Linked DNA regions of Canis lupus familiaris. The protein of the gene in region 2 purifies or fractionates together with the protein of the main gene of each other region. This does not show direct contact. Links are inferred from orthologs where the notes say so. Each region holds a gene or a part of one and is shown on either strand. Other genes may lie near its edges.

Evidence for each region. The genes of interacting proteins can lie anywhere in the genome.
Region 1: the proteins of ESYT1 (region 2) and ATL3 purify together in Homo sapiens (affinity purification with mass spectrometry; 3 studies listed by BioGRID and IntAct, with this or other methods). This does not show direct contact. The link is inferred for Canis lupus familiaris from reciprocal best matches to the Homo sapiens genes ESYT1 and ATL3.

What each region holds. Positions count from the first base shown.
Region 1 is NC_049239.1:53,810,831-53,821,292, forward strand, and holds the start of ATL3 (atlastin-3), read left to right. Parts: upstream 1-4,568; 5' UTR 4,569-4,738; coding exon 4,739-4,784; intron 4,785-5,164; exon of another isoform or gene 5,165-5,270; intron 5,271-5,279; exon of another isoform or gene 5,280-5,421; intron 5,422-10,462. UniProt on the Homo sapiens protein: Atlastin-3 (ATL3) is a membrane-anchored GTPase that mediates the GTP-dependent fusion of endoplasmic reticulum (ER) membranes, maintaining the continuous ER network. It facilitates the formation of three-way junctions where ER tubules intersect.
Region 2 is NC_049231.1:799,458-809,421, forward strand, and holds the start of ESYT1 (extended synaptotagmin-1), read left to right. Parts: upstream 1-820; 5' UTR 821-910; coding exon 911-1,288; intron 1,289-2,705; coding exon 2,706-2,747; intron 2,748-2,917; coding exon 2,918-3,052; intron 3,053-3,178; coding exon 3,179-3,252; intron 3,253-3,368; coding exon 3,369-3,441; intron 3,442-3,598; coding exon 3,599-3,688; intron 3,689-3,861; coding exon 3,862-3,917; intron 3,918-4,330; coding exon 4,331-4,454; intron 4,455-4,542; coding exon 4,543-4,719; intron 4,720-4,838; coding exon 4,839-4,921; intron 4,922-5,216; coding exon 5,217-5,265; intron 5,266-5,390; coding exon 5,391-5,477; intron 5,478-5,587; coding exon 5,588-5,680; intron 5,681-5,910; coding exon 5,911-5,982; intron 5,983-6,155; coding exon 6,156-6,242; intron 6,243-9,452; coding exon 9,453-9,602; intron 9,603-9,932; coding exon 9,933-9,964. UniProt on the Homo sapiens protein: Binds calcium (via the C2 domains) and translocates to sites of contact between the endoplasmic reticulum and the cell membrane in response to increased cytosolic calcium levels.

The DNA.
Region 1 (10,462 bases), on a different chromosome or scaffold from region 2:
GCCACCCAGGAATCCCTCAAGTATCTTTTTCGAAGAGACAGAGAGGCATGCTGTTAATAACAATAATGAAGCAGCTGGCAGGTCTTGAGTTTTTAGTGTTACCATCATGTTGAGGGCCTGATATCCAACTTTACAACACTCTATGAGTTATTGACTATTTTTCTTTTCTTTTGTTTTTAGAGAGAGAAGGGCAGGGGAGGGACAGAGGGAGAGGGAGAGATAATCTTTAGCTGGGTGTGGAGCCTGATGCAGGGCTCAATCTCATGACCCCAAGATCATAATCTGAGCTGAAATCAAGAGTTGGATGCTTAACTGACTGAGCCATCCAGCTACTCTATTTTCTTTTTATAAACTATGACACCAAGTCAATAACTCATTTTATACACGGAGTGAAGTAGGGTATATTTATTTATTTATTTATTTATTTATTTATTTATTTATTTTTAATGAGAGAGAGAGAGAGAGAGAGGCAGAGACATAGGCAGAGGGAGAAGCAGGCTCCATGCACCGGGAGCCCGATGTGGGATTCGATCCCGGGTCTCCAGGATCGCGCCCTGGGCCAAAGACAGGCGCCAAACCACTGCGCCACCCAGGGACCCCGGGTATAGATATTTAAATGACACCCAGCTGGGCACCTGGGTGGCACAATTGGTTAAGCGTCTGACTCTTGATTTCGGCTCAGGTCATAATCTCAGGGTCTTGGGAGCCAGTGCCATGTGGGGCTCCCCACTCAGTGGGAAGTCTGCTTGAAGATTCTTTCCCCCTCGTCCTCTGCCCCAACCCTCCAAAATAAATAAATAAATCTTTAAAAAAAATAATGCCCAAGGATGCCAGTAGTCCAGTCTGTCCCTTCTGAGGGTCCTGTTGCTTAAACATGGATCCTACGAGCAGGCAGTAGGAGAAAAGGCTGAACTGAGGCCCAGCACAGTCTCTGTGAGTGATAATTATTTACTTGGCTGTTTACCCCACAAGACTGTGAGTCTCTGGAGGACAGGAATGTGTCTTACGCATATGTAAGCAATACTGCCGAGCACTATGCCTGACACATAACAATTTTGGAAAGCTATTTTTGGAAAGCTTTGGAACCTGAGTCACAGTGGATGTCACTGCAGAAAACAATTTTGTTATTTCTGTGCTTCATAAAATACTTGATTACCTTGAATATTTATGATTTTGTTTTGGCTTTCCAGAATGAATATAATTACCAATTTTTGAGCACTACCCATGCATCAGTCATAATTACCAAATGCTTATATCTCATTTAACTCACAACAACTCAAAAGCATTTAGCAGTAGATAATGAAAGAAGTTCAAAGAGATTAACTAACTCACCCAAGTTTGCACAGCTAGTAAGCATCAGAGCCAGAATTCAAAGCCAAGTCAGTCTGACTCCAAGCCCTGTGGTCTTAACCATTGAACATGTCTACATATCACTCGCTTCGGGAAAACCACGAGGAAAGCTCAGTATCTGGTCTTATCACATGACTCAATTCAGAATGAGATGGCTGAAGGCAGGCTGTGATCAGTATTATCAATATTTAGCATTTTTAAAAAAGATTTTTATTTATTTATTCACGAGAGAGAGACACAGGAGAGAGAGAGGCAGAGACACAGGCAGAGGGAGAAGCAGACTCCATGCAGGGAGCCCGACACAGGACTCGATCCTGGGACCCCAGGATCAGGCCCTGGGCTGAAGGTGATGCTAAACCGCTGAGCCACCCGGGCCGTCCATATTAAGCATTTTGAATGTCCACTGTTTTGATGACCCTGGCTATTTGAGAAGGAAACAACACTAACAACAAAACATATTTCTCGTTTATAGGAGTTGCTATCTAAGCTGTGACTAATCCTAAAGTCTGCCTTTAATTTGTACTGTGTTTTTTTTTTTTTTTTTTTTTGTACTGTGTTGTTCTAAATGCCAAACACTTCTACAAGGTATGGAAGGCTGATGTGCTGAAAATTATATCGAGACAGATGTAATGTCAATGTTTCCCGTCACTTCCTGACAGGAAGCCCTATTGGGAGCCCTTAAAATAGAACAGGGTATTTTGTCCAAAAGCAAAAGTTAGGGCAGCCTGGGTGGCTCAGCGGTTTAGTGCCGCCTTCAGCCCAGGGCCTGATCCTGGAGACCCAGGATCGAGTCCCATGTGGGCTCCCTGCATGGAGCCTGCTCTCCCTCTGCCTGTGTCTCTGCCTCTCTCTCTCTCTCTGTGTGTCTCTCATTAATAAATAAAAAAAATAAAATCTTAAAAAAAAAGCAAAAGTTAGGGACTTAATATTAAGGGAGCAAGAAAGTGAACGAGCAGTGCTAGGTGTCACATACCCCTTCTTTACTCGTCCATTCAGTACATATTAAGAATTTCTACTATTGGGCAGCCCGGGTGGCTCAGCGGTTTAGCGCCACCTTCAGCCCAGGGCGTGATCCTGGGGACCCAGAATCAAGTCCCACATCAGGTTCCCTGCATGGAGCCTGCTTCTCCCTCTGCCTGTGTCTCTGCCTCTCTCTTTCTCTGTCTCTCTCGTGAATAAATAAATAAATAAATAAAATCTTTAAAAAAATAAAAAAAAAGAATTTCTACTATCTGCCTGGCATTATATGAAGCACCGTGTATTTATATAGCAATGAACAAAAACAGACAAAAATTCCTATTCTAGTGGGAAGAGAAACCAAAAGATTATGTTTTACTTAAAACATAAGTTGGATGGTAAGAAGTCTAATCAAATTGGATGGGGAAGGGACTAGAGAATTCTGGGATGTGTGTGCAGTTTTAAATTCCTGTACAGTGTGTTGCAATTGTGACAAGTCATTGGCCTTTGGCCCCTCTCTCTTTCCGAGCATGCCACAAAATGGCCTGGACTTGTGTCACATCTTGTAGGTCCTGCCTTCTGCACACCTAGTGTGAAACTCCAGGCAGCACTTGCCCTGATGTTCATGTCTAGTTTCCTGCTGGCCAGAGTGGACTAGATCTAATCTCGACTCTTAAATCTAAAGGCTAGAGGAGGGTATTCAAGTAATCTTGAGAGTTTGGGGAGAAAGGAAGGCAGGGGGAAAGAAATCAAAATAGGATCTCTTTAGATAAGATAAGGCAGAATTATCTCTCTTCACCTCTGTCCCAATCGCTCCAGAAGTAAGAAAAACAAACTAACAAAAACCGCTCAAAGGCTTGGCAGGGCCTGGAGGTAGCTGGAAGGAGGTTCTGAGTAGATTGTCATAGTTAAGGCAGAGGCAGAAGTGGGGCGCCTCGCTGGCTCAGAGGAGCATGCAAGCTCTTGATCTCCCGGTGGTGAATTCGATCCCCACGTTGGGGGCAAAGTTTATTTAAAAAGAAACAAACCAAAAATAAATAAACAAACAAACAAATAAAGTAAAAAAAATAAAAAAAAAATAAAAAGAAACAAACCAAACTTAAAAAAAAACAGGCAGAAGAAAGTATAATAATTTATGTAATGAATGAGGGAATGGTGACGCCAAGAAATGGTGGTGATGGTGGGATGGATGCCCCCAACTACCTACCTCGGATAACCGCTCCTACCTCAACAAATCCAAGATAACAAAGTTCTTCACAACTGACATTTTCTTAGTCGCATGTGAAATGTGAATAAAAGCATTTTCAGAGAACCTCGTTTTGTATTGCCCTAACACAGTTTAGATAGGGTGTACCTGCAAAAGTAGCTTCAGAACAAGCCCTTTTTTTTTTTTTTTAAGATTTTATTTATTTATTTATTCATGAGAGACAGAGAGAGAGAGAGAGAGGCAGAGACCCAGGCAGAGGGAGAAGCAGGTTCCATGCAGGGAGCCCGATGTGGGACTCGATCCTGGGTCTCCAGGATCAGGCCCTGGGCCGAAGGCGGTGCTAAACCGCTGCACCACCTGGGCTGCCCAGAACAAGCCCTTTTTAAGAAACACGGCCATCGCTTAGGCTGGACAAAGCCTAGGGAAGGAGTTTCACTGGAAGGTCTTAGCTATCAGAGTGGTGGTGATGGTCCACCACCAGGCTTGGCCAGGCTCGCGATTATGGGGCGAAACTGGCGGTGGTGGTAATGAAGTCACGTCCTCCTCTCCTTGTGAAGTCAAAATCGTTAAAAACCAGAGCGCTCACGTCATCCAGGCTTGAGGCCTCCCTTTGGTCCTTCGGTCCCTGAACAACGCAGCGGGTAGGGGTTACCAACTGGTTAGTTATCCCAAGTCCTCCGCCCCGGGGCGGGTCTCCGCAATAGGATCCCGCCTGGGCTCGCCGGCCCGCCCCGCCCCCTCCCCTCCCCTCCCCGCATGGCCTGCTGGGAGTTGTAGTTCAGTCGTCGAAGAGCCGCGCCAAGCCCCTTCCCTTCTTCCGCTTCCTCCCTGCCCCGGATGAGTGCGCAGAACAGGGACAGCCCGCGGGGGCAGCCACAGAGCGTGGGACTACAATTCCCAGTGGCCTGCCGCCGCGGGCGTGCAGTCCCAGGTAGCCGGCGACGCGCTTGCTCGCACGAGCACGCGCGTCGGGCGGCGGCAGGACTCGGCCGCGTGCTCCTTTCCGCTCCGGTCCGCCCCGCCCTCGCCGCGCCCAGCGCTGTCCGTCGCGCCTCGCACGCCCGCCCCGTGGTCGTTCCCTCGAAGCTCTCCGCGCCCCTCCTTCACCCCAGTCTCTTTTAGAGGCCAGGCCCCGCCCGTTTCCCGCCTCCTGGGCCCGGTTCGTTCCCGATTCAGCCCGCCCCTCCCTGCGCCCCCGCGGCCTCTGCTGCAGGCGGAGGCTCCATGTTGTCCCCTCCGCGAGTGGTAGCGGCTGCCTCGGGAGGAGCAGGTGAGGCGCCCGGTTTTCCCCGCCGCCCTCCCGACCAGAGCCCCGAGGAGACCGCCCGCCGCTCGTTCGTCGTCCCGGGGTCGGGACCCTGCGCCCCTCGGCGGGTACCCTGGGCCCGCGAATTCAGGGCCGGTGCTGCTAGCGAGGCCCGGCCGGCGGGGCGCGGGCGGTGCCTCCCTGGGCTCCCGGTGGGAGCGGCCGCCCTCGGGTCGGGGTCGGGGCCGGGGCCGGGGCCGGGGCCGGGGCTGGAGGGCCGGGGCGGGCGGGCGGCGTCGGCAGCTGCGGCCCTGCAGGCCCCGCCCGGGTCGAGGGCGCGCTCCGGGGCTGCGGCCCCCTCCCCGCCTGGCACCTCGCGGGCTCGCGGGCCGGGCCGGGCGGCGGGAAGGTGGATGCTTTTACGTCCAGCCTTTGGCGAAGTGCTGGAGCGTCTCGGTGTTGGAAGCTTTATTTTCATCCTGACGACCTCGAGGCGCTGACGACAATTAGGAAAGTTGATTTTTAAGCCCACGCTAATTTCCATAGGCGAGTTAGAATGTGGCCTAAATTGCTTTTTAAGAAGTTCTTTTAGTACGTTTGGCACCGTCCGTTGTTCCGTTGCTTTCCCGAGGACATGCAAAGACAGCAAGATAATTCAAAAGTAAGAGAGTCCTCAAAAATGGAAGGATACTTCATGTCATAAGTATTTTAACCTGGCTTTATTCTGGCTTAGCGTGTATGCTGTTGACATCGCCAAAAGTTCCACTTGCCAAATTCAAAGGCAGAAAAAGAAAACATGAAATCCCAGCCCTCAAAGAATTTGTGTACGAAGTTGGGTGGACCGTTTTGTGAAAGGGAGAAAAAAAAAACCGCGATCTCATGTTTTGTCTTCTTTTGCAGAAGTTTCTGAAAAGCGACGTGGTTTTAATCCGTGTCAAGTGTTCATCATTGCAGTGAACCGAAATTCCAATTAGGGCTTCCCCCCCACCCCCCCACTTTGCATAGAAACTAGCTTGTAGGGGATCCCTGGGTGGCTCAGCGGTTTGGCGCCTGCCTTTGGCCCAGGGCGTGATCCTGGAGACCCGGGATCGAGTCCCACGTCGGGCTCCCTGCAGGGAGCCTGCTTCTCCCTCCTCCTGTGTCTCTGCCTCTCTCTCTCTCTCATAAATAAATAAAAATAAATCTTAAAAAAAAAAAGAAAAGAAACTAGCTTGTAGTTTACAAGTCCCTGTTTCTGCTTTGCCACCTGTAAAGGAAAGGCTTAGATGAAAAGGATTTCTATGCTGTGTAGTGAAGAATGAACACTACTATTAACAGCACATTGTTTTATTAACTACCCCTTACTGTCTATTGGAGTGATCGTGAAATTAAGAAAAATGACAACAGAGGATAAACATGTATATTATCTGCGGTGGAGCACATGTGTTTTTCATTTCTATGCCTTCTGAACCTTAGGATAAAGGGTACGTGCTCTCTTTAAAATGAGATAATAGAGGATTGTAAGAAGCAAGAAATTAACAGAAAGTTGTCTTCCTCCCCTAAGCCCCAGTGGTAGGTCATTTAACAGTTTGGTTACATATTAAGATTCCTATGAAATAGGGAACCCCAGGTTGTGTGAACTTGTTTGAGAATGGTGTAAGAATTTACCTATAATGACTAGGCATGCCTGTTAAAGCTTCTATTGGCTTGTGAGCTGAGAAATTCTTCAAATAACATAGCTGCATTTTAAAGCTAATTTGAATTTTAAAACATTTTCCCAAGTTCTCTTTGAGGTTTTAGGAGTATATTCTCTAAAAAACATCGAGGGGGAAAGTGAGGATAAAGCTTTTATCTAAAAGAAAAAAAAGCCTTTAGTTGCTGTAGGTCTGTGAATCTCAGGTCTGCTGCATGATTAAAATAACCTGTGATATTTAAAACCTGACAATGCATGGAACCCACAGATTCTGATTTACTTCCTTCAGTGGCGGAGCAACAGTTAAAAAAAGAACCCTGAGTAATTCTAATTTGTATGGTAATGTAAAATTCTCCTATAGGTGGTTGCTTACATTTGAATTGATTTGTTACTTTTTTTTTTTTTTTTTCTTTTTTTTTTTAATTTTTATTTATTTATGATAGTCACAGAGAGAGAAAGAGAGAGAGGCCGAGACATAGGCAGAGGGAGAAGCAGGCTCCATGCACCGGAAGCCCGATGTGGGATTCGATCCCGGGTCTCCAGGATCGCGCCCTGGGCCAAAGGCAGGCGCCAAACCGCTGCGCCACCCAGGGATCCCGATTTGTTACTTTATAGGAAGTATAATTTATAATATCAGTGTTTGTTACTAGAAGTTGATGCTTTTTGCAAATTGGTAAAAAATGTTTTTTATTAGCATATATTTAGATAGAACTTATTGATATATTTCACAGCTAAAATATATTACCAGTTAGGAAATAGACTATACTGGTATAGTCAGTGAAAAAACAAGGTAGATTAACTTTTAATGTCTTGCAATGATAAGGAATCCAAGTCAAATATTGCAAATTAAAGCCTTATTCATCTGGAACACAAAACCTTCCGGTAACCAAATTGATTTTGGCGATTTTTTTATTTTTATGGAAGAGTCAAATAAGATGAATATTGAACTCACTCTATTAAAAAAAAGTTTTTTTTTTTTTCTATAGCATAGCCTGGCATCATTTTTAGATTCAGCCTGGTCTTTGCATTTCTGAATCTTAGGTACTGTTTAGTCATAATTGACCTTATAAATACATAAAGCACTACAAAATTGACGAAATGTGGTTTTGTTCAGCATTCTGTGCTAAAGTAGGAACATGTTATGCCAGATGAATTGAGAAAAGGTTTTCTCTTAAACTCTTTAATTGATTAGAATGTAAATTTCCCCCAATATTCTCTTTTGTTGGTTATAAGTATTTTTATTGAAACAGCCAAAGAAATGTACGTGTATCTACTAGCATACTTACTGCCTTAAGACAAAAGAGAGCATATAAAAGCATTCTCCCACCTTGAGACAAATGGAACCACTTCCAGCAGTTTGAGTTGGCTGAGAGCTTACCCTCATATATGATGTGTTTTTTCTGGCCTTGCCTGAATTAGGAACTTTAAAGACTGCCAGTGAGAACAAGGCCTGAAATGGTATGCTTCTGTTTTTGGGTGTGTTGCTCTTGTCCTTTAGTAAATGGGTTTCAAAAGGAGAGTGGAAAACTCAGGTCATAACTTTACCCTGAGTCATACACTCTACTTGGTGAAATGTTTCTGAAACTGTAGTTAATTTGCTTTGCTTTGTGGAGCTCTCTGAATAGTACAGATGAACACCAAGGCTGGCTCTACCATAGTGGTTCTTTTTTTGTTTTTTGTTTTTTTTGTTTTTTTTTTTTTTTGATCCCGGGACTCTAGGACGGCGCCCTGAGCTGAAGGCAGATTCTCAACCACTAAACCACTCAGGCATCCCACCACAGTGATTCTTTACCCAGGGTGATTTTGCTGTGTTGGGACATTTAGCAACATCTGCAGACATTTTGGGGTCTTATAAGCAGGAGGTAGCACTACTGGTATCTAGCGGGTAGAGGCCAGAGTTGGCTGCTAAATATCCTACAATGAATAGGATAGTTCCCCACAACTGAGCTATCCAGTATAAAATACTGGTAGTGCCAAGGTTGGGAAACCCTGGTCTATACTGTTGAATTGATCAACTAAATTCTGTATGAATTTTCTGAAGTAGCAGTTGTACCTGCTTCCAGTTAACTAGTTTCATTGAATTTATCACTGTTCAGGTGGGCTTTTCAAATATTTGAGGGGAATTTAAACTTTTTCCCTCTATAATGTTTTCTTTTTTTTTTTTTAATTTTTTAAAATTTATTTATGATAGTCACACAGAGAGCGAGAGAGAGGCAGAGACATAGGCAGAGGGAGAAGCAGGCTCCATGCACCGGGAGCCCGATGTGGGATTCGATCCCGGGTCTCCAGAATCGCGCCCTGGGCCAAAGGCAGGCGCCAAACCACTGCGCCACCCAGGGATCCCCTATTTTCTGATAGAATTTATTTCTTAGAATTTGTATTTTTTTTTCCTTTTTCTTTATTTATGAGAAACAGAGAGAGAGAGAGAGGCAGAGACACAGGCAGAGGGAGAAGCAGGCTCCATGCAGGGAGCCTGATGTGGGACTTGATCCCTAGTCTCCAGGATCAGGCCCTGGGCTGAAGGTGGCGCTAAACCGCTGAGCCACCTGGGCTGCCCGAATTTATATTTTCCATAGAACTGAAAAGGCCAATTGGATCAGTAGTCTCACCTACTTTTATTTAGTCTATGCAGCTACTTTTTTTTTTCTTTTTTAAGATTTATTTATTTATTAGAGAGAGGGGAGAGGGGGGTGAGCCCACAAGTGGGAGGGGCAGAAAGGGAGAGAGAATCCAAAGCAGACCATGTACTGAGTGTGGAGCCCATTGTGGGGCTCCCATCTTCCAACCTCCAGGTCACAACCTGAGCTGAAACCAAGAGTCAGATAGATGGTCAACCGATTGTGTCACCCAAGACACCCTTGCAGCTACTTTAAAAAAAAAAATCTCTTAAAAATTCAGTGTTAGGTCATTCTAGAAGAGCTAATATTGTAATTTGGTCAGATCACTACAAAGTCTTCCCTGTGATAATTAGTTTCACCTGTTAGTCTTTCACCTTATTTCTACTTGGATTGTCTGTGTCATTTTAGTGCAGAGCCAGTCTGTTGAATGCAATTATTACAGAAATTATTTGAATAGGTATACTTAAACCTATTGGCTAGTCTGGATTGTGTTTTTACCAAAAGTAAAGGGTAAATCAGTACTTTAAAAGGTAATTAGAGAAAAGGTCGTCGCTTCCACATAAACTGTTGAAAGGCTTTTTAATTATCCAAATATTTTCAGCATTTCCTGTAGAGGAAACTGAGCCACAGAGAAGTAAAATGATTTACTTATGTGGTCACAATCATTGTAAAGCTGGGCCCTGAGGGTTAGGAAAGGCCTTTCTCTTGTACATTCTGCTTCACTTGAGAGTAACAATCTTTGCCAAAAGGAATTTAACTCCTAAAAGGAAGTAAGGGGCTTGTGGATGGTGCAGTCAGTTAAGCAAGTCTTGGTTTCTTTAAAGATTTTATTTATTTATTCATGAGGGAAAGGGAGAGAGAGAGAGAGAGAGAGAGAGAGAGAGAGAGAGAGAGAGAGAGAGGCAGAGACACAGGCAGAGGGAGAAGCAGGCTTCATGCAGGGAGCTCGACATGGGACTTGATCCCAGGTCTCTAGGATCACGCCCTGGGCTGAAGGCGGTGCCCGCAACTGTTGGTTTCAACTCAGGTCATGGTCTCAGGGTCATGGGATTGAGGCCTGAGTCGGGCTCCAAGCTCAGTACAAAATCTGTTTAAGATTCTCTCTCTCTCTCTCTCTCTCTCTCTCTCTCTCTCTCTCTCTCTCTCTCTCTCTCTCTCGGCAGCCCTGGTGGCGCAGCGGTTTAGCGCCGCCTGCAGCCCGGGGCCTGATCCTGGAGACACGGAATCGAATCCCACGTCGGGCTCCCTGTGTGGAGCCTGCTTCTCCCCCTGCCTGTGTCTCTGCCTCCCTCTCCCTCTCTCTCTCTGTCTCTATGAATGAATAAATAAAAATCTTAAAAAAAAAAAAAAAGAAAAGATTCTTTCTCCCTCTCCTTTCTGCACCCTCAGCCCTGTGCTCACTCTCAAATCAA
Region 2 (9,964 bases):
CAGGAAATTCTTGGAAGATGTCATCAGATCCGCTGCAGCTGATGCATCTCCCCTCCCCCCACCTTTTGGGAGCCAATTTAGTTTGTCCTCTATGATAGAGATAACTAAGTCCTGGAGGTTTCTAAAAAAATAAAGCCTCGCTTCCTATTCATGCCGTTCCTCTCTCTCTTCCCTGAAGGCTGGATAATTTCAACTCTGTAATACATTCTCGTATTCGGCAGTTTTTGCAGCGTTGCGCGGCACCAAGTAGAGGGCGGGACAGGATAGACGGAGTCGGTCACCGCACATTTTCCCTCCACCGGGGTGTTTTCTAAGGACAGCCAAGGAAACCCTGAAGGATGAGTGACGTACTTAGAGAACGAAGCCTAGGGACGGCGACAAGCGGACACGGAGGAGTCCCAGACAAATCCTGCCCAGCCGTCCGAACCGGGTGGAAGCACCTCCCGGTCGCTCACAGTGCCCCAACTCCGCAGCCTCGGGTCCCTCCGGAGCCGCAGGACGCGCCCGACGTCGCAGCGCAGGCACGCCCACCCCACGTGGGGGAGCGCCCGCCCCGCCCCGCCCCTCCACAGGGTGGGCCACGCCCCCTCCGCCTCCCGGCCAATCAGAGGCCGCCCCCAGCCTCCTTCCTCCCTTCGCACCGCCCGGGACCGCCCACCTCGGCTCCGCGGCGGGGCGGCGGAGGTCCTGCCTCTCCCGCGCCCCGCGGACTCGCGGCGGAAGAGGGGGGCCCGGGCTTCGGCCTCCTGACTCCGCCTCGGCCCGCGTGCGGCGCGGGCCACCCCGAGTCGGCAGGTCGTGGGGGCGTGGCCTACGGTCCCCTCCCCCGGCGCGGGGGTGCGCTTGCAGGGGGCCGCGGGCCGCCAGACCCAGCGACCTCTAGCCAGTGTCGGGGTGGGGCGGGTGCAGCATGGAGCGCTCTCCCGGCGCCAGCCTCGTGGAGCGAGCCTCTGCTCCCTCGGACCCCCCGGCCCGGCCCCCCGGCGCTCACACGCAGCGGGACCGGACTTCTGGGAACCAGCCTGCGGGCCCAGGCGCGGCGGCGGAGGCGCTGGCGCTGCTGACTTCGTTCGGGCGGCGGCTCCTGGTGCTGGTGCCGGTGTACCTGGCGGGGGCGGTGGGACTCAGCGTGGGTTTCGTGCTCTTCGGCCTCGCGCTCTACCTGGGCTGGCGCCGCGTCCGCGATGGGAAAGAACGGAGCCTCCGAGCGGCGCGGCAGCTGCTGGACGACGAGGAGCGGCTCACGGCGCAGACGCTTTACCTGAGCCACCGAGAGCTACCTGCTTGGGTGAGCGAGCGCCCCGCTGCCGGGGTCTCCCTCCAGGCCCGAGGTCCGCTCCCCACCCTGGCAGCACGGGAGCACCCCCCGCCCCGCCGGCCGCCTTCTCCGGGGACCGAGCAGACCCCCCTTGCCGCGCGCCCGGATCCCGGTCTGTCCACCGCATCCGTGCTTCTTCCTCGGCGCCAGGACAGGCGGTGGGAACCCCTGGGGAGCCGGGCTCGGCCGGGGCGCCCCCCCCAGCCAAGCCGCCCGAGCGCTCCCCGCTGCTCCCGGACGGCGCGTGGGGCTCCGAGGGCTCCCTCCTCTCTCCCGTCCTCCTGCAGACTTTTTTCTGTATTATCATCGTTTGCGGTTTAAGGCCCTGAGGTTCCTCCTTTTCCCGCTCTTCCCCCGGGGTACCCGCCGGGACCCAGCCGCGGGAGCACTGCCGGGGGAGCCGCGGCCCCCGCCCCGCCCCTGGCCCTGGCCCTGGCCTTGCAGCCTCTGGCGGTTGGGCCACAGCGCCGGGGGGCGGGGGGAGGGCAGGGGAGGGCGCAGCTGCGGCGGGGGAGGGCTCCCGCTGCGGGGGGAGGGAGGGGAGGGCGCCCGCGGCCCACGCTCGGCCGCCCGGCCGGCCCCACCCTCTTCCCGACTGCGCACCCCCAGCGCCGCCCGTCTCCCGGCCCGCCGGCCGCCGCCCTCCCGGCAGGGGTGCGGGTCTGCGGCCCGAGAGCGGAATCCGAGCCGACAGCGGGCGGGCGGGGCCTCGCCGCGCGGGCCGAGGCGGGAGGGGGGGCGCGATCGTCCCAGGGCACTGCAGCCCCGCGGCCCCCACGCCTCGCCGCGGGAAGCAGCCTTGTCCCTGAAGCACCGCTCCTCCTCCCCAGTGTGGAGCACAGGTGTCCTTTCCCATAAAAGGAGTCACACTGATCCAAAGAAAAAAAGACGACGACGACCCGGCTGAGGCCCGGTAGCTCGTCTCCCTCCCTAACTCAAGGAGCCGCTTTCCTCTGACTTCTGGGCTTAGAAGAGGCCCCAGTAGGTAGCGAGGCGGGAAGGGGGCAAAACGGAACCGAGATCTCGCCACCCCAGGATTTCCTCCTTAAACTCTGATTGGTCAGGCCCTCCCTGTCCAGCAAGAATGTGCCCGCCCGCCGTCCCCCTGTGCGCCCCGGAGCTGTCCCCGGCCCACATCCCCACATCCCCGGCTGTCCACAGAACGACTCTGTGGGGCCCACACCGTGTGGGTACCCCCATCACACCTCGGCACCCCGAAACCCTGGAGGAGGGACTGCTCAGGGCATCCCAGCCCCTCCCCTCCAGCCCCTGGGCGTGCCAAGGTCCTGTCACACCTTGTTTCCTTTCCTCTGTGGGCGCCTCCAGCATCTCAGTAGGAAACCACCGGTGGCGGGTGCTCATCCCTCTCTCCCTTCCTCACCTCTAGGTCAGCTTTCCAGACGTGGAAAAGGCCGAGTGGCTAAATAAGGTGAGGGTTGGTTCTTTTATGTTTCATAAGCAGGGAACGGGGTTCATATCTCCAGCCAGACGCTGCACACCCCAGGGGTAGCCCCTGTGCTCTCTGTGGGGAGGATTCTAAGGAGCTTGTCTTTAGGGAGAAGATCAGGCTCTCCTGTGACAGGTTCCCTCTCCTTCCAGATTGTGGCCCAGGTCTGGCCCTTCCTGGGCCAGTACATGGAGAAGCTTCTGGCTGAAACTGTGGCCCCCGCTGTTCGAGGCTCTAACCCCCACCTGCAAACATTCACATTTACACGAGTGGAACTGGGTGAGAAGGTGTGTGTGGTAGGAAGGAAAGTAGCGGGAGGGAGGAGGCAGGACGGGGGGGCTGGCCAGCCGGAAAGGGGCTCAGCTACTCCTCCCTTTCCCTCTTCTCTCTCTTGAGAAGTCCTGTCTCCGCAGCCGCTGCGCATCGTAGGAGTCAAGGTTCATGCTGGCCAGAGCAAAGAGCAGATCCTGTTGGATTTGAGCATCAGGTAATCCCACTCACTGTCGCAGCTCCCCCTTCGCCATCCTGGTCACTGCCTGCCTCACCCCCTCCCCGCCTCAGCCTAGTACCAACTCTCTCTGTTCTCTTCCCGTCAACCCCCAGCTACGTAGGTGACGTGCAGATTGATGTGGAAGTGAAGAAATATTTCTGCAAAGCAGGAGTCAAAGGCATGCAGGTGGGCAAATGTCAGGGGCCCCCATAATAGGGAGCCTTGTTTTGCCCTAAATTTCGTCGGATATGGGGAAGTGGGAAATTGGAAAAACCAAGGCTGGGGCAGTTCGGGATGGAAAGAAGGCCTTTTGTGGAGAAAGGCTTTGCTCTTCTCTTCCCAGCTACATGGTGTCTTGCGGGTGATTCTCGAGCCACTCATCGGGGACCTTCCCATCGTGGGGGCTGTGTCGATGTTCTTCATCCGACGCCCGGTAGGGGAAGACACTGAGGGGCATGGGGAAGGGGAAAATAGAGGACTGGGAGGAACAGGGTGGCCAGCTCTGGGGCTTGGGGGAGGAGAGGCTGAGGGATCTGGCAACTGTTGGATGGGTGTGACCAGGCCACCGTGTGCCCTGTCCTGATTCCCCTTGCCCCTTCCTTCCAGACCCTAGATATCAACTGGACAGGGATGACCAACCTGCTGGATATCCCAGGACTCAGGTGTCAAGGATTTATGGAGCCCCTAAGTATTCCAGCCCTTGGTTGTCGGTTTTTGGGATACAAAACAGTAAGAGATGTAGCCAGCACCCTCTGGGAGTCTTGATCATCCTAGCTGGAGAGATGACAAACCCCCCTGTGATTTTCGTCCTGTCGGGGAGCACACATTTGGGTGGGGAGCAAAGAGGGTTGCAGGCTGCTCCGCTCCATAGGGGTAGAAGCAAAAGGCGAGCTGGGGTGGCAGCAAAGGTTCAGAGCAGTAGGTGGGGAGTGAGGGTAGGAGAGCAGCCAAAAAAGCTCTTCAAGAAAGGATGTTCCTCTAGCTTTACGGCTCTGTTGGTTGTGGGCAACAGAGCTGGGGGTGGGGGGCTTCTGGACGTTGGGGACACACACCTTCCTTTCTGTTCCCCCATCAGCTCCCTCTCTGACACCATGATCATGGATTCCATCGCTGCCTTCCTTGTGTTGCCCAACCGGTTACTGGTGCCACTAGTGCCTGACCTTCGTGATGCAGCCCAGCTGCGTTCCCCTCTTCCCAGGGTACGGCCTCTCCCCCATCAGATAGATCCTTCTCTCGGGGACCTTGTGCCCGCTCCTTCGGTTCTCATGATCGGATTGCTTTGCACAGGGCATTGTTCGGATTCACTTGCTGGCTGCCCGAGGTCTGGGCTCCAAAGACAAATACGTGAAGGGCCTGATTGAGGGCAAGTCAGACCCCTATGCACTCGTGCGAGTGGGCACCCAGGCATTCTGCAGTCGAGTTATCGATGAGGACCTCAATCCCCAGTGGGGGGAGACTTACGAGGTGGGAGACCTGAGGAGTGGGGCCGTGTCAAATAGGGAGGCCCTGGGAGGCTGTGTGGGAAGGTGCTGAGGGACCCTCACAATGTAGCCCCTGAGCCCCTTCTCCCGTGTGTCCTTCAGGTGATGGTACACGAGGTCCCAGGCCAGGAGATTGAGGTGGAGGTGTTTGACAAGGATCCAGACAAAGATGACTTTCTGGGCAGGTGAGCCTCGGCCTGTTAGGATTCTAAAGCCTCGGTGCTACCAGGGTCACAGAGGTAATCCTAATCCTTTTGCAGGCCTGGGAATTGTATATTACTTTCCTTCCCAACCTCCCCACCCTCGCCGCCATCACGCACACGCGTGTACACACGCACGCAAATATCTGCTGAACAGAAGAAGGGAGTCTGAGAATTGCCTTTTATTTCTAGGCGGGGGAGTGGAGGGCCAATGACACGCTACTAATGACAACACTCTCCTTTTCCTCTGCTCACTGCCACTCCTCCCCGCCCCCTCCAGGATGAAGCTGGATGTAGGGAAGGTACTACAGGCTGGAGTCCTGGATGACGTAAGTTGAGAGAAGAGGAAGGGGGGGGTAGTCTCACCCATTGGGCTGACAGTCATCGCTACGTTGGGGGAAGAGGTTGTGCGAATGTCTGATCCCTCACCCTTCACTTTCTGCTCTCCCTCCAGTGGTTTCCTCTACAAGGTGGGCTAGGCCAAGTCCACCTCAGGCTAGAATGGCTGTCGCTTTTGCCACATGCAGAAAAACTGGAGCAGGTAAGGGACATGGGAAGGTGGGAAGGTAACAGGGGGGAAAGAGGTGGCTGCGAGTGTAGGACTAGGGGCGAGGGTGTGACAACCACCCCCCACCCCCGCCCGCCCTCCAGGTTCTGCAGTGGAATCGCGGCATGTCCTCCCGACCAGAGCCCCCATCAGCTGCCATCCTAGTTGTCTATCTGGACCGGGCCCAAGATCTTCCCGTGAGTGTGGCTCCCGAGGGCGGCTGAACAGGAAGCTCTGGACGCAGCATCCCCACGTCCTCTCTTGTCCCTCCCCACGTGGCTTCAGAAGCAGCAGCATGGAATGCCAGGGGTCCCAGGAGGGGATCAGAGCCACCTCAGGGAAAAGATCCTGATGAGAGCCCACCTTCCTTCACTGGGACAAAACCAAAAACACCCAAGATGGTGACTTCTCAATTCTGCCCCCACAGCTGAAGAAGGGGAACAGGGAGCCCAACCCCGTGGTACAGCTGTCAATTCAGGATATGACCCAGGAGAGCAAGGTGAGGGCCGGGGTGTCATGGTGGGAGGTGTGTGCACGCACGTGCATGCACATCTGGCTGGGGAGGACTGTTCTTGGGATGAAGTTTCCCCTTTAGGCGGCCTGTGAAAGCAAAGTCTTTCTGAAGAAACAGGAATGGTGCCGCAGCGCATACCCTTCTCCCCTCCTGCACAGGCGGTCTACTGCACCAACTCCCCGGTGTGGGAGGAGGCTTTCCGGTTCTTCCTACAAGACCCTCGAAGCCAGGAGCTCGATGTGCAGGTGAGATAAAAACTCACTGAGCCCCTCCTGGGTGTTCCGTTTGCCTTCCCAGGTCGTACCATGTCCCTCTTTGATCATATTCCAGTCCATCTACCTAGACTCTCCCCATCTTCCCCAGTCATCTCTCTAGAATCGTATTTCCTTGTAAGATTTATTTTTTTATTTTAGAGGCTGCGTATATGTGTGTGTGTGTGTGTGTGTGTGTGTGTGTGTGAATGAGAGGAGGGGCAGAGGGAGAGAGAATCTCAGGCAGACTCCCTGCTGAGTGCAGAGCTCGACTCTAGGGCTTTACCTCAAGACCCTGAGATCACGCCCCGAGCCAAAACCGAGTTGGTGGCTCAATGGACTGAGCCACCAAGGTGTCCCTAGAATCATTCTTTATAGCGGTGCCTGGCTGGTTCAGTCAGAAGAGCATGTGACTCTTGATCTTGGGATGTGAGTTCGAGCCCTATGTTCGGAGCGGAGATTATGTAATCAACTTTTTTCTTAAGATTTCATTTATTTGAGGGCACCGGGTGGCTCAATCGGTTGGACCTCTCTGCCTTTGGCTTAGCTCATGATCTTCAAGTCCTGGGATCGAGCCCTGCATTGGGCTTCCTGCTCAGTGGGGAATCTGCTTCTCTTTCTCCTCTCTGCCCCTCCCCGCTGCTCATTCTCTCTCAACTAAATAAGATTAAAAAAAAAAAAAAAAAAGGTTTCAACATTTAAAACTGAGCATCCTTGGGGCACCTGCCTAACTCAGTCCATAAGCATGAGACCCTTGATCTTGTGTAGTGAGTTCAAGCCCACCTTGGGTATAGAGATTGCTTAAAAATAAAATCTTAAAATTAATTAATTAAAAACAAAATGAAACTGAGTGCCCTCTCTTCTTTCCACTGAAACAAAAAAGAAAATTTTAAAGTAGGAACAAGGGACGCCTGGGTTGCTCAGCAGTTTAGCGCCTGCCTTTGGCCTAGGGCATGATCCTGGGGTCCTGGGATCAAGTCCCGCGTCAGGCTCCCTGCATGGAGCCTGCTTCTCCCTCTGCCTGTGTCTCTGCCTCTCTCTGTGTGTGTGTCTCTCGTGAATGAATAAATAAAATCCTTTAAAAATAATAATAATAATTTTAAAAATATAAATAAATAAATAAATAAATAAATAAATAAATAAATAAATAAATAAATAAATGTAGGAACAAATTCTAATAGAGAATGTCGATCCCAAATAAGATCCTACAGGGATCCCTGGGTGGCGCAGTGGTTTGGCGCCTGCCTTTGGCCCAGGGCGTGATTCTGGAGACCCGGGATCGAGTCCCGCGTCGGGCTCCCGTGCATGGAGCCTGCTTCTCCCTCTGCCTGTGTCTCTGCCTCTCTCTCTGTGTGTGACTATCATAAATAAATTAAAAAAAAAAAAAAAAAAAAGATCCTACAGGTTCTGCTGATTCTCCCATCAAGTGGCAGGGCTCAAGTTGTGATCAGGAGAGAATTTTATTTTAGAAGTGTCATCTTAAACTGCAAGGATGTCTTTTTTTTTTTTTTTTTTAAGATTTTATTTATTCATTCATGAGAGACACACAGAGAGAGAGAGAGACATGGGACTCGATCCCGGGACCCCGGGATCACGCCCTGGGCCAAAGGCAGGCACCAAGCCGCTAAGCCACCCAGGGATCCCCAAAGATGTCTTTTAATCATCACAATTAGGGCAGCCCCGGTGGTGCAGCTGTTTAGCGCCGCCTGCAGCCAGGGGTGTGATCCTGGAGACCCGGGATCGAGTCCCACGTCAGGCTTCCTATATGGAGCCTGCTTCTCCCTCTGCCTGTATGTATGTATGTATGTATGTATGTATGTATGTATAAATAAATAAATAAATAAATAAATCTTTAAAAAAAAAGTAAATAAACATCACAATTAAACATGCCAGAGGAGAAGCCCTGCAGACACCTAGAAGCTTAAAGGTCACAGAAAAAGCATGGAATAGTATCCGCCTTCATGAAGCTTACTGGCTAGTTTCATAGACTGGACACATGTATAAAGCCATCTAAAGATGATGAACTAACTAATGGGAATAAAATGTCCATAGGGTAGTGCTAAGGCTCGCCAAAGAAAAATACGGAGGCCAGGGGATCCCTGGGTGGCTTAGTGGTTTGGTGCCTGACTTTGGCTCAGGGTGTGATCCTGGAGACCCGGAATCGAGTCCCGTATTGGGCTCCCTGCGTGGAGCCTGCTTCTCCCTCTGCCTGTGTCTCTGCCTCTCTCTCTCTCTCTCTCTCTCTCTCTGTCTCTCATGAATAAATAAAATCTTTAAAAAAAAAAAAAAAAAGTACGGAGGCCGAAAAAAAAAAAAGCTGCAGAGGCTTGAGTAACTAGAGATTTTGTGAAGGATGGGCTTTAAAAGATAAATAAGATTTAAGTAGAGGGGAATTTTATTTTATTTTTTATTTTTTTTAAAGATTTATTTATTTATGATAGAGAGAGAGAGAGGCAGAGACACAGGCGGAGGGAGAAGCAGGCTCCATGCAGGGAGCCCAATGCGGGACTCGATTTTGGGACTCCAGGATCGCACCCTGGGCCAAAGGCAGGTGCCAAACTGCTGAGCCACCCAGGGATCCCCAGAGAGGGGAATTTTAAAAAATAATAAAAATTTAGGGCAGCCCGGATGGCCCAGCGGTTTAGCGCCACCTTCAGCCCAGGTCCTGATCCTGGGGACCTGGGATTGAGTCCCATGTCGGGCTCTCTGCATGGAGCCTGCTTCTCCCTTTGCCTATGTCTCTGCGCCTCCCCTCCCCCGGCCCCGTCTCATGAATAAATAAAATCTTAAAAAAATAATAATATAAAAAGAATTTAAAAATTAAAAAAATAGTCTGAGGGGAGGAGAATGAGAACTTAATGGGAACAGGATAAGCAAAGGCAGAAAGGACCACGGAATAGGCATAAGAAAACCTGGCTGGAGTGGAGCAAAAGTTGTGTGGTTGGTGGAGCAAAAGTGAAACTGGAGCCATGTTACGATTTCCCCAGTATTTCTCCTTTTCCCTACTTTTTTTTTTTTTTTAAGATTTTGAGAGAGAGAATGAGGAGGGGGAGGGACAGAGAGCGAAGCAGACTCCCTACCAAGTAGGGAGCCCAATGGCTGGGATCCGAGGATTCCACCTGAAGGCAGATGCTTAACTGAGCCACCTGGGCGCCCCTCCTTTTTCCTTTGCTCTTCCCTACATCCCCTCTTCCTGGGCTCTAGGTGAAGGATGACTCCAGGGCCCTGACTTTAGGGGCACTGACTGTGCCTCTGGCTCGCCTGCTGACTGCCCCTGAACTCACCTTGGACCAGTGGTTCCAGCTCAGCAGCTCTGGCCCCAACTCCAGGCTCTACATGAAATTGGTTATGAGGGTATGGAGACGGAGCACGCACTGAGGGTTGGAGGGGCCTCGTGGATTCCTTGCTATTAAGACTAAAGAGGAGGAAATCCTCTAAGATCCAATGAGCTAGTATATGTGGAAGCACCCAGCAGCCACACAAAAAATGTTTGTTGCCCAAACCGGGGAAGAAGTGGTGTATGAGTAGGATGAGTGTCGGGGGAACCCTCTAGAGATTAGCCCAGCCAAGGCAGGGACCTGTTTTCCCCATCAGAGCCTCTGCGCCGCCTCCAACCCCCACGGACCTTGCTTGCGGGTGTCTAGCTGCACTTCTCTGATTGCACAATTACACCACCCTTCCCAGATCTTGTACTTGGATTCATCAGGAGTGCACTT